2 linked regions of the Coturnix japonica genome follow. The protein of the gene in region 2 interacts with the protein of the main gene of each other region in a pairwise test. Links are inferred from orthologs where the notes say so. Each region holds a gene or a part of one and is shown on either strand. Other genes may lie near its edges.

Region 1 (5,262 bases), on a different chromosome or scaffold from region 2:
CTGTAAATTGAGGGTAGTCTGACATATTGTGGTTAGTACCACCTGGGTTTAAAGGCAGATGAAGAAATTGTGTTCTTTTTAATAGCTGTGTCACCTTGCAGGCTATCTATCCAATGTAGATATTTCAGTAGAATTACCATAAGCTAAAATTACTGCTTCTAGACTATATGGAGAAATCATGCTCATCAGCATGTAAGGAAGGATCCATAGCCCCTAAGTATAAACTATTTAATTTACCTGGTCCTCCATCTGATTCTATTTACATCAGCCACTTATATGTTACAGAGGATTTGTTCAAAAGACATCTCACAGAAGTGCATTGTTTTTTCATAATGGAAAGTGCAATGTATTTTGGGAGGGAGAATAAAAACATTAAAACTGTATCAACACTTCTAAGATTACTTTTGCTATTTAATTTCTATTGAATAAATAGAGAAAAGAGAATGATTTTTCTCAGTAACTGTGTAATTTAGAAAAATATAGCAGAGGACGATCAAAAAACAAAGATAAGCTCTATGAATAGGTTACCCTTTACAAAGGATGCCAGATGTTTAATGAACATTGGAAACATACTAAATACAAATTCTCATCGTGCTCAAATGCCATTATTACTGTGTTCCTTCCATCCTATCCCTAATCCTCACTAAGCTCTCCATAGTGCTGAGCTGAACAAAGTACCAGACCGTTGTAATCATTTATCAAGGAGGTTTCTGCCATCTAGCGGAAAAATACATTGCTTGCAGAAGCCACACCAAGATCGAAACCTTTGTTCAAGGGTTGGGCATGCAACTGCTGAACCCAGCCCATCTTATCAAATGCGTTCCCTTCCAGTATCGTCGCCTTTTGCAGCAAGCCTCTGTTCGGATTGATGCACTGAAAAATGCTGCCTCTAAATGATCCTTGGTCATACTGGCTACCCCTTATAACTAACCTCACTCAAAATCACACAGAATCACAGAATGACCTGGGTTGGAAGGGACCTCAAGGATCATGTAGTTCCAACCCCCCTGCCTGGCAGGGCCACCAAACATACACCTTTACTAGATCAGGTTGCCCAGGGCCCCGTCCAACCTGGTCTTGAACACCTCCAAGGACGGGGCATCCACAACCTCCCTGGGCAGCCTGTTCCAGGGCCTAACCACTCTCCTAGTGAAGAACTTCCCCCTAACATCCAACCTAAATCTTCCCTCTTTTAACTTAAAACCATTTCCCCGTGTCCTGCTAAAATCCTCATTCCTCTCAATTCCACTCAAATCCTCATTTCCCCTTATACTTACCTTCACTCATATCCTCATTTATTTCAGTCATCAGTGAGTTGTAGAATGGCTTGGGTTGGAAGGGCCCCCAAGGATCATGAAGCTCCAACCCCTCTGCCACAGGCAGGTCCACCAACCTCCACATTTAATACTAGACCAGGGCCCCATCCAACCTGGACTTGAACACCTCCAGGGATGGGGCATCCACAGCCTCTCTGGGCAGCCTGTGCCAGCACCTCACCACTCTCATAGTAAAGAACTTCCCCTGATATTCAACTTAGATCCTTCCTCCTTCAACTTAAAACCTTTTCCCCTTGTTTTACTGTTATCTACCCTTGTAAAGAGTTAACTTCCCTTCGGTTTTTAGGATCCCTTTAGGTACTGGAAGGGTGTACTGAGCTCTCCTCGCAGCCTTCTCTTCTCCAGGCTGAACAAGCCCAGCTCCCTCAGCCTGCCTTCATTATTCATACTGAATAAACTAGAGTACTTCTGAACCACATCCAAATCAGACAGGGACAGAATTAACATGAAAACAGCCATATGCAGACTTGCTCAGCAAGCCATCTCCTCACGTTAGGGATGAGGACAGCCAGCTGCTATCTGGAAAACGTAAAACCAAACGCTGTTTGGCAGCTGACAACATGGCTGTTACTGCAGACTCCATTTCCCAGGCGGCTCCGGGAACATGGCCGCCATCGCTGACCCGCCTCTGTGCGGGGCTGCCGGGACTCGTAGTACTGCGACGGGAAGAAGATGGCGTCCCGGATCCATGTGGTGCTGCGGCCCGTGAAGAGTATCGTAGTCCGCTTCTGCCCCTTCGATTCCAACGTGGAGAGCACCAGGTGAGGGGCAGCGGCGTGTCCCGGCCCTGGGGCTGCGCGGGACTCGGTGCTACCGCCGATATGAGGGGGGTGGATCCACACGACCTTTAAGGTCCCTTCCGACCCGACCCGAGGTACTCCAGGCCCTTTAATCACCTTCATGCTCTCCACTGGACTGTCCCAGGAGATCACTGTCTTGTCTATACTGGGGAGGATGTGTTTGTGTTGTGTAGCTCTGTAGATCCAGACAGTAATTGGATTGCTGCCTGGTAAGAAGTGAGTGTCTGAAATTATTGAATATAAATCCAATTCTGTTTATACCCAGCAATGTCAAACTATTCAAAAACTATACTATATACTAAAACTATACGTTTTGGATGCATCTCTCATGTATTAACTGTAATTTTTATCTGTGGAGCACTCAGTGTGTTTTAAAATACATTTTCAGGAAATTTCTTCAATGTATAAACCATAAAAGAATCCAAGCTACTAACAGGAACTGTGAAGTGTCTGCAGATGTGAGACATGATGGATCTGAACCACTTGTAGATGTTATGTTTGGTAAGAGTTCATTTTTAATCCTCACAAAAAGTCCTTCCACGTTTGTGGTTTCACAGTGTCTCCTCTATGATCATTTTTGCTGTGATTAATTTATTCTTTTTTTAATTCTCTTCTACACCTGGATGTTGCCAAGCTGGGAAGGAAAAAGGAAGTCACTAACACTAACATGTACATGTACAAGTCTTTACCAAACCTAACTCATATAGAGTTGAGTCCACTTTAGCAGTGGGACACTTGTATAACCTTGCAGTCAAAGTCAGTTCCAGGAAAACAAGTGTAGCTTTGCTTTGATGTTTTACACATCTGTATACACACATACTGAATTTTTGTTCTGTGTTGTCTTGTTTTCTGTGGTGGAGACATCTGTCTTAAGAATAGACAAGTTTAACACTTGGAGTTCTTTATGCAAGTGAGTAACTTGCTGCGTAGCTGGAAGGAACTGCTCATATAAGACCATACATGTGCAGACGGACATACAGAGTGAGGTCAACTGATGTACAGCAAATTACTTGGTTTCCTTTGGAGATCCAGCGAGTAGACAGGGAATTGATAGTGGAAATGTCATCAGTTCTGGAAGCAGCCCAGATTCAAGGCTATGAACAGATGGCTGTAATCTGATTTTGTCTTTTTCTCGGGCTGTATCTTCTTTCCTGCTGTGCTGTAATGGCCCAGTATGGCATGTAGCCTATTAAAGTTTTCATTATATTTTTTCCTGTTACCCACTTTTCTTTAAGCTTTCTGATATTTAGTGAATCAGTAGAAGTGTTGAGAGTGCTGAATGTACTTGTTTTGCCAAGCAAAGCCAAATTACTTCAGCGCTGACAGAGGTTTCTCCCTCCCTCAAGCCGCTTTTTTTCCAATCCTTGACTCTATCTGTGATGTATTAAGACTTACGCAGTAAAGCTTAGTGTTTTTCACAGTGTAAAGCAAAACAATTTATTTCACTAATGCCAAGAGCTACAGCTCTGAACTCCACTTTCTAAGAGCTGATTATTTTCCAACGGAAGAGTCTGCAGCCCTTCCAATTGGCAAATGTGACTGGAACATGGATGCCACGAATGGTACTGCATTAAATGGGTTTGACTATATCTTTTATATTTGCAAGTCTTGCAAAGATAAAAAAATAACTTAGGTACTATCCTTAATTTCTGATGCTCCCTCTCTGTTTTAAAGTGCCTTTTTTTTTTTTTCCTCCCCAGGAATTTACAAATCCAAGTGTTGTCTACTTTTTAATTTTATAACCACCAGATTGTATAAACCGTTTCACTGTTTTGGCTAAAGAAGTGAAGTAAATGGGCCATATACAACATGCTGCTAAAATGCTGGGCCATGTGTGGAAATTATGCCTACCAGTGCCTTTTGTGCCTTCTGTTCACTGACTTTGGTGGCATAGTGTGAGCCATTCTTATCAACAATATGCTTTTACCATACATATATCTTGAGAAACATTTCTTATTTTTTGATCAGACAGTACAGAAATGAAGATTACAATAGTTACAGTTTCATGTATTTGTTACAGTTTCATGTATTTGTTTGTTCCATAATAGGATTTCTTGTTAAGTGGACTCCTTTCTAATCAGACAAGATGAGCAGGGTATTTGGATTTGTAAATGCAAGCCAGAACTGCACACAAAAGTAACTGTGACTTAAATTTTAAGAACTTATAAATGTTTTCTTTCCAGCTGATGGAGAGCGATTGATAATGAAAGGAGCCAACCTGACAACAGTTGAAATGTTAACAGCACTGGGTTCCAGATGTAATGCAAAGGAGCTTAAGGCAGAACAGAAAAGCAAGAAGAATCCCTGAAGAACAGAACAACTGTGTTGCCATTTGTTAAAACAGGAGGCTGCAAAGAGAGGTTTTCTCCAATGCAACAAATTCTGAGAGAGATGGCCAAAAACTGACCAGTTTAATGCAGAGCAGAATCAACTGTTGAAGTTCTTCACCGTCTTCCCCAAAAGGAAAACACAGTAGATCAACAAATAGTGTGACAGCAGTGGACTGGAATGGCTTAAGATACACGAATGCAGCAGTGTCTGTTATCTGCATGTTGGACTAATGTCACATGTATTTGCATATAAATATGAATACTGCACATTGGTTATTAAATTAATAAATGCTAAAGTGAAGATAGGTCTCTCTAGATGTTATTTCCAACACATTTAATGTAGCTGAGAAACAGCAGCCTCCAAACACAGAGACTGTATTTGCAAGGACATTGGCTGTACAATTTATACTATGTCTGTTGCTAAGACCTTGCCATTTTCTTCTGTGATTCAAAAAAATGTGTGATATTGGCCAAATGTAAATTTAGCTCAGCAATTAAAGCAACAAAGTAATGGGGTTGTGAACACACAGTAGCGCTACTCATCTGGAATAAAAATAGCAAAATTTAGCTGAAAGGGAAACATAAACTAGTGTTTTTGGTAATTGGAGAAAAGAGCTGTCTCTGAAGTTTTGTTTTGAAATATTTTTGTCACTTGCATTTGGGAGATTGCATTAAATATTTCATAAAGATCAAAGGGAGAGCTTTATTTGGTGTTTGTAGTCCTGTGTCCAACCCTATTATTTGCCTGGGTGTCTCATCTGTATTGCAGAGCGCTTTGGGCTTGGGAGGGCTGTT
Region 2 (4,608 bases):
AAACTTAATTATTTTAGAGCTTTGCTGTTTTTAAAAAATGTGTAGTCTCCATGAATGTTGCTTTGGAATTTGCAGTGGAAAGGAAGATAAAATACAAAACTTCATATATTCAATCATGCTTTGGCTATGGACTGTTTTGAATGGGAGCTTTTGGGCAAACATTGTCTACTGTTGTATTAAATTTCACTTCCTGATCTCAGTGTCATAGCTTCCAAGTTGTGCTATTTATAGATTTTGAACCCAGCTACAAAGGCTGACATTGTTAACCCCTTTTTGCAAGTAGAAAAATTAGATATTTTTGAGAAGGAGAATGACTTGCAGCTCAGACAGGAAAATAGTGGGAGAAGTAGAAAATTAGAGAAGTAGAGAAGTGGGAGAATTGCATTTGCTTGCTTTATGGAGGAACTGAACTTCTATGTTGTTTATTTACGTAACTTATTTTTGGCAGTAATTTTTCAGACTTCTTCATGCTTTAAGAAAATATGTCTTTCTGTGTCTCAGTTATATTTTGTTGTTCCTTTCTGGAAGTTTTCAACCTGCTTAGCCTGTTTAGAGTGAGATTTGAAGAAGCATCTTAGAAATAAATACACCTCACCAGTTTGGTGGAAACATACAAAACAAAAAAATAGGAACTCACAATTTTTTTTTTAAAATTTATTTTACATAGATTGATCTGGAGAGCATATTTTCACTTAATCCAGATCTTGCACCCGATGAAGATATTGAACCCAACCAAGAGATACAGCCACTACCTACTCCATCAGCCAAAGTAAACAAAATTGTTAAGGTTGGTAAGATCTGTTCATACTGTATTACAGAACTCATTAACTTGTTGTTATGTTTGAATTTTTACATTTGACTTCTGTCTGTGGATCTACTTGTTAAATATGTTCAGTTTTTTCCTGTGCTGAAAGAGGTTTTCTGAGAACCCATTTGGCAGTGAGAGTGTTAGGAACTAATACTTATAGCTAGATACATCTCAAGGAGAAAATATACAAAAGGAGATTGTTTTGGAACAGTTTGTATAGTTCAAGCAGTCTCAATTGTAGGCTCTTCAGAGATGGATTAGACAATAATCACCTCTCTGTGCTGTATTGCTGATGTTATGCTGGAAGCCTAGGTGTGAAGCTTTAGTTTATGTTTTAAATTATGAGGTAATCAAATGTCAGAGATTTCTGTCTTTATAGGTTCGACGGACTCTGGTACCTGCTAAGAATGATGTCCCTGCCAGGGATAATAGAGGTAAATATCGTATCTTTCCATTTCAAGGAAACAAAGAATGTGGAAATATTTTAACTTGGAGCTTTTCTAAAATTCTTTGTTTTAGTTCTGTGTTTCTAATTCATTATATGACAAAACAGAAGACATGGTACATAACTCTGCAACTTGTATTTCAGTAGGTACTCTGCGTCTTACTATTTGCAGTGTACCAAAGGATTAGTTCTTTGGTTTTGTAATTAAACTTCTCTTGGCATACTGTGTTTTTGGTGGAATAAATTCATGGTGTAAAGTAGATCTATCATATTTGGAAGTGATCTGGGAGTTTTTGTTTGTTCCTTATGAATCTGTTTTCACAGTTTTCTCTGTATTTTATAATATGTTGGCTTTTGGAATGTCATCTCTAAGCTATTAATTAAAACTGTTACCTTCAATTTCATGCTCTTCTGGGAGAGCTCATTACTAGCATGTACGAGAAACTGCCGAGATGAAGCAGAAGCACTTGAAGCACCATTTCAACAAACAAAATATTCAACTCTACTGGAGAGGCTTGCAAGCTCACTACTCACACTACATTCACTGGGAAGAGATAACACTGTGTCTTTAGAAAGGAGCATTCTTATCACATATGGAATCAATGCAGAAATTTAGGTAGACGTACCCCTTTCAACTAGGTCTCAAAAAAGTTTATTTCTTCCACAAGTAAATGGAGCTGCACTTGGGTGCCTTTCACTTCTATCCCTTTACTCCTTCAGATACTGTAGGTTCAGTGAGGTGAGACTATTTTTAAATTTCTTAAGAATGTGAAACTATGGGCCCATTTTCTTGCAATATAAATAAAATTGCATCATGAAAGGACCACGTATCTCCACATATATTCTTCATTTTATGTACGTTGCGCTGGTTCTGTAATAGAGTATGTAATAATTTGCACAAGCAGCATAGGTACTTCATAATTTGTTGTGTTGGTGTGTTGTAGAAACTCAGAAAAGCATGGGTGCAAGCAGAGGGGAGAAAAAATGATTGAAAGATAAAGGTGAATCAAATGGTCAGCTTTACATCTCTTTGATTATTATAGAAATGTGGCAAAATAATTACACATCACCTTCCCTAGAAGAATTAAATAAGTGCATAGATATGGAACTGAGGGACATGGGTTAGGGGGTAATATTGGTGAATAGTTGGACTAGGTGATCTGGAAGGATTTTTTCCATCTTAATGATTCTATGATTCTGTATGTATTAGGATATTAAAAAATAAAAAAATCTGCATTCTGACTGCCTTTAATAACGAACTTTCCATGTATATGTATATCTCACTTCCCTCCAATTCTCAGTAAACTGTACCTCAAAAGAGGTCTTGTTTTATTGTAATAAAATATTTCAAAATTGGATTGATATATTTTTATTTAATGGATCAGCTTTGTTCTTTTCTTTTGCAGTGGCTGGTTCTGCACGTGCGCGGCCCACTCAGCTTCCTGAACAGTCATCTTCCTCACAACAGAATGGTACTGTTTCAGATATATCTCCAGTTCAAGCTGCAAAAAAGGAATTTGGACCCCCTTGTATGTAAACCGTATCTCAAGGATTCTTTCATCCTGGACATTACATGTAGATTCTCTTGGATTATGTTGCTGTTCATAAAGGACATAAGTCTGTAGCCTTCCTTATGAAGCTTTTTCAGAGTACAGTGGCTAAACTATTGTTCAATTTTGCCGCAGTTGGAATTTATTTTATCTTCTGTTATCTTTTGTCTTTGCATCATGAACATGTGGGGTTTTTTGTTTTAATTTTTTTTTTTACATTTGTTTCAGCACTTTTTTCATTCAAACCAAGAGATCACATGTACCTGTCCAAATGTTTTCTAAGGATCACTTTCCTTATTTTTTTTTTTTTTTCAATTACTATCCCATTTCCATTCATTTATTCGGTAAATTTTAGGCACTGAATTGCTGCAATTATCTTGTACTAACACTGATTTAATTGAAAAGGTAGTAGATGTAAATAAGCATGTACTGATTAATTGATGTAATTGAAATGCAATTACTAAACTCTTGCAACACACTGAAAATATTTTAAATTATATCATTTTCTCCAAGCACGTAGAAAATCTAATTGTGTAAAAGAGGTTGAAAAATTGCAAGAGAAACGTGAAAAAAGGAGGTTACAGCAGCAAGAACTTAGAGAAAAAAGAGCTCAGGTGAGTATTTTTAGCCTACGTTGTACTTTTTTTTCCCCCATTCTTCCATAATTTTTATGAGCTGTGATAATCCTGAAATTTTTTTTTCTCCTATGTACAAATTTGATACATCTTTTTGGTGCATATTTGCATTGCTCTGATAAATTGCTATTTAGACAGGTTTCCCACTCTTTTTCTTCCTACACAAATAATTGTGTGCAGTTACTTACCTTTCCATATGTTATTTCAAAATCAGATGCTAATGATACCTATGTCTGTTGACAAAAATCATCCCAAGCTTGTGGCTTGGGATGTTTCAGTGTTACAGTTCATCATTCTTTATGATCTCTGATGCTTTGTTGGATAAGTATTGAGTCTCAAGTTCGAACAATTAATTTTTATTTAACTTCTTTGAACTTGTCTATGACTTTATTGCTTAGCTTTGCATCGTGCATGCAGCTTGGGAGCAAATTTTTTAGAAACTTGTGTGAAACAGATGAAGTTGCTAATCCTGTGAGGAAAAAGATCTAATAAAAAATTACTTTCCGTCACAGTAGTGTTAAGGCTTCAACAATAGTAGTAGTGTAATATTGTTGGCAGGCTTGTGAGTATGTGTCAGTCTCTCTAAAGAGCAGCACTGATCTGCTGGTGACAGAAGTACCACCACTGAGTAAATAATTCACCTAATTTGCTTCATGCTTTAATAATGTTTCTAAGCTGAACTAAAAGGACTGATGTTGAATTCGTGTTTTCTAGTTTTCATTTGCTTAAACAAATACAAAACATAACTATGTGGCTCGGGTCAGAGTCCTGTGATTTCCTCAGAGATGTCAATCTTCCTTGAGATGAGCCAACACGAGAGAAAGACCACTTAAGGGCCATCAGTCCTCAGAGATGGCCATCTTCCTTGAGATAGGCCAACACAAAAGACCACTTAAGGGCCATTGATCAGTATCTTATCTCCCTTTCGTAGCTCCCGGACTTGTCCATCTCCTAAACAAAGGGATTTCTCGAACCTTGGTTCCTGTGTGTCTCAGACAAAGGCAGTCCTGGAACCTTGGCCAGGACTTGCCTGAACTTGTCCATTTCAGCAAACTTTGAGACAGTAATGTAAAAAGCATGGCCTCTTACACTATGTCTCTATATGTGAGGAATAAATAATTTTTATTTTGTAACTTAAAAATTCTTTGACGTGGCACTAAACCTGAAATT

The links.
Region 1: the proteins of KIF2A (region 2) and MRPL53 interact in binary tests that used the Homo sapiens proteins (3 or more experiments, as listed by UniProt). The two-hybrid records come from large-scale screens. The link is inferred for Coturnix japonica from reciprocal best matches to the Homo sapiens genes KIF2A and MRPL53.

The regions. Positions count from the first base shown.
Region 1 is NC_029517.1:109,900,818-109,906,079, forward strand, and holds the start of MRPL53 (39S ribosomal protein L53, mitochondrial), read left to right. Parts: upstream 1-1,965; 5' UTR 1,966-2,009; coding exon 2,010-2,098; intron 2,099-2,525; coding exon 2,526-2,638; intron 2,639-4,320; coding exon 4,321-4,445; 3' UTR 4,446-5,262.
Region 2 is NC_029547.1:20,727,764-20,732,371, forward strand, and holds part of KIF2A (kinesin-like protein KIF2A), read left to right. Parts: intron 1-667; coding exon 668-787; intron 788-1,187; coding exon 1,188-1,242; intron 1,243-2,659; coding exon 2,660-2,782; intron 2,783-3,316; coding exon 3,317-3,417; intron 3,418-4,608. UniProt on the Homo sapiens protein: Plus end-directed microtubule-dependent motor required for normal brain development. May regulate microtubule dynamics during axonal growth. Required for normal progression through mitosis. Required for normal congress of chromosomes at the metaphase plate.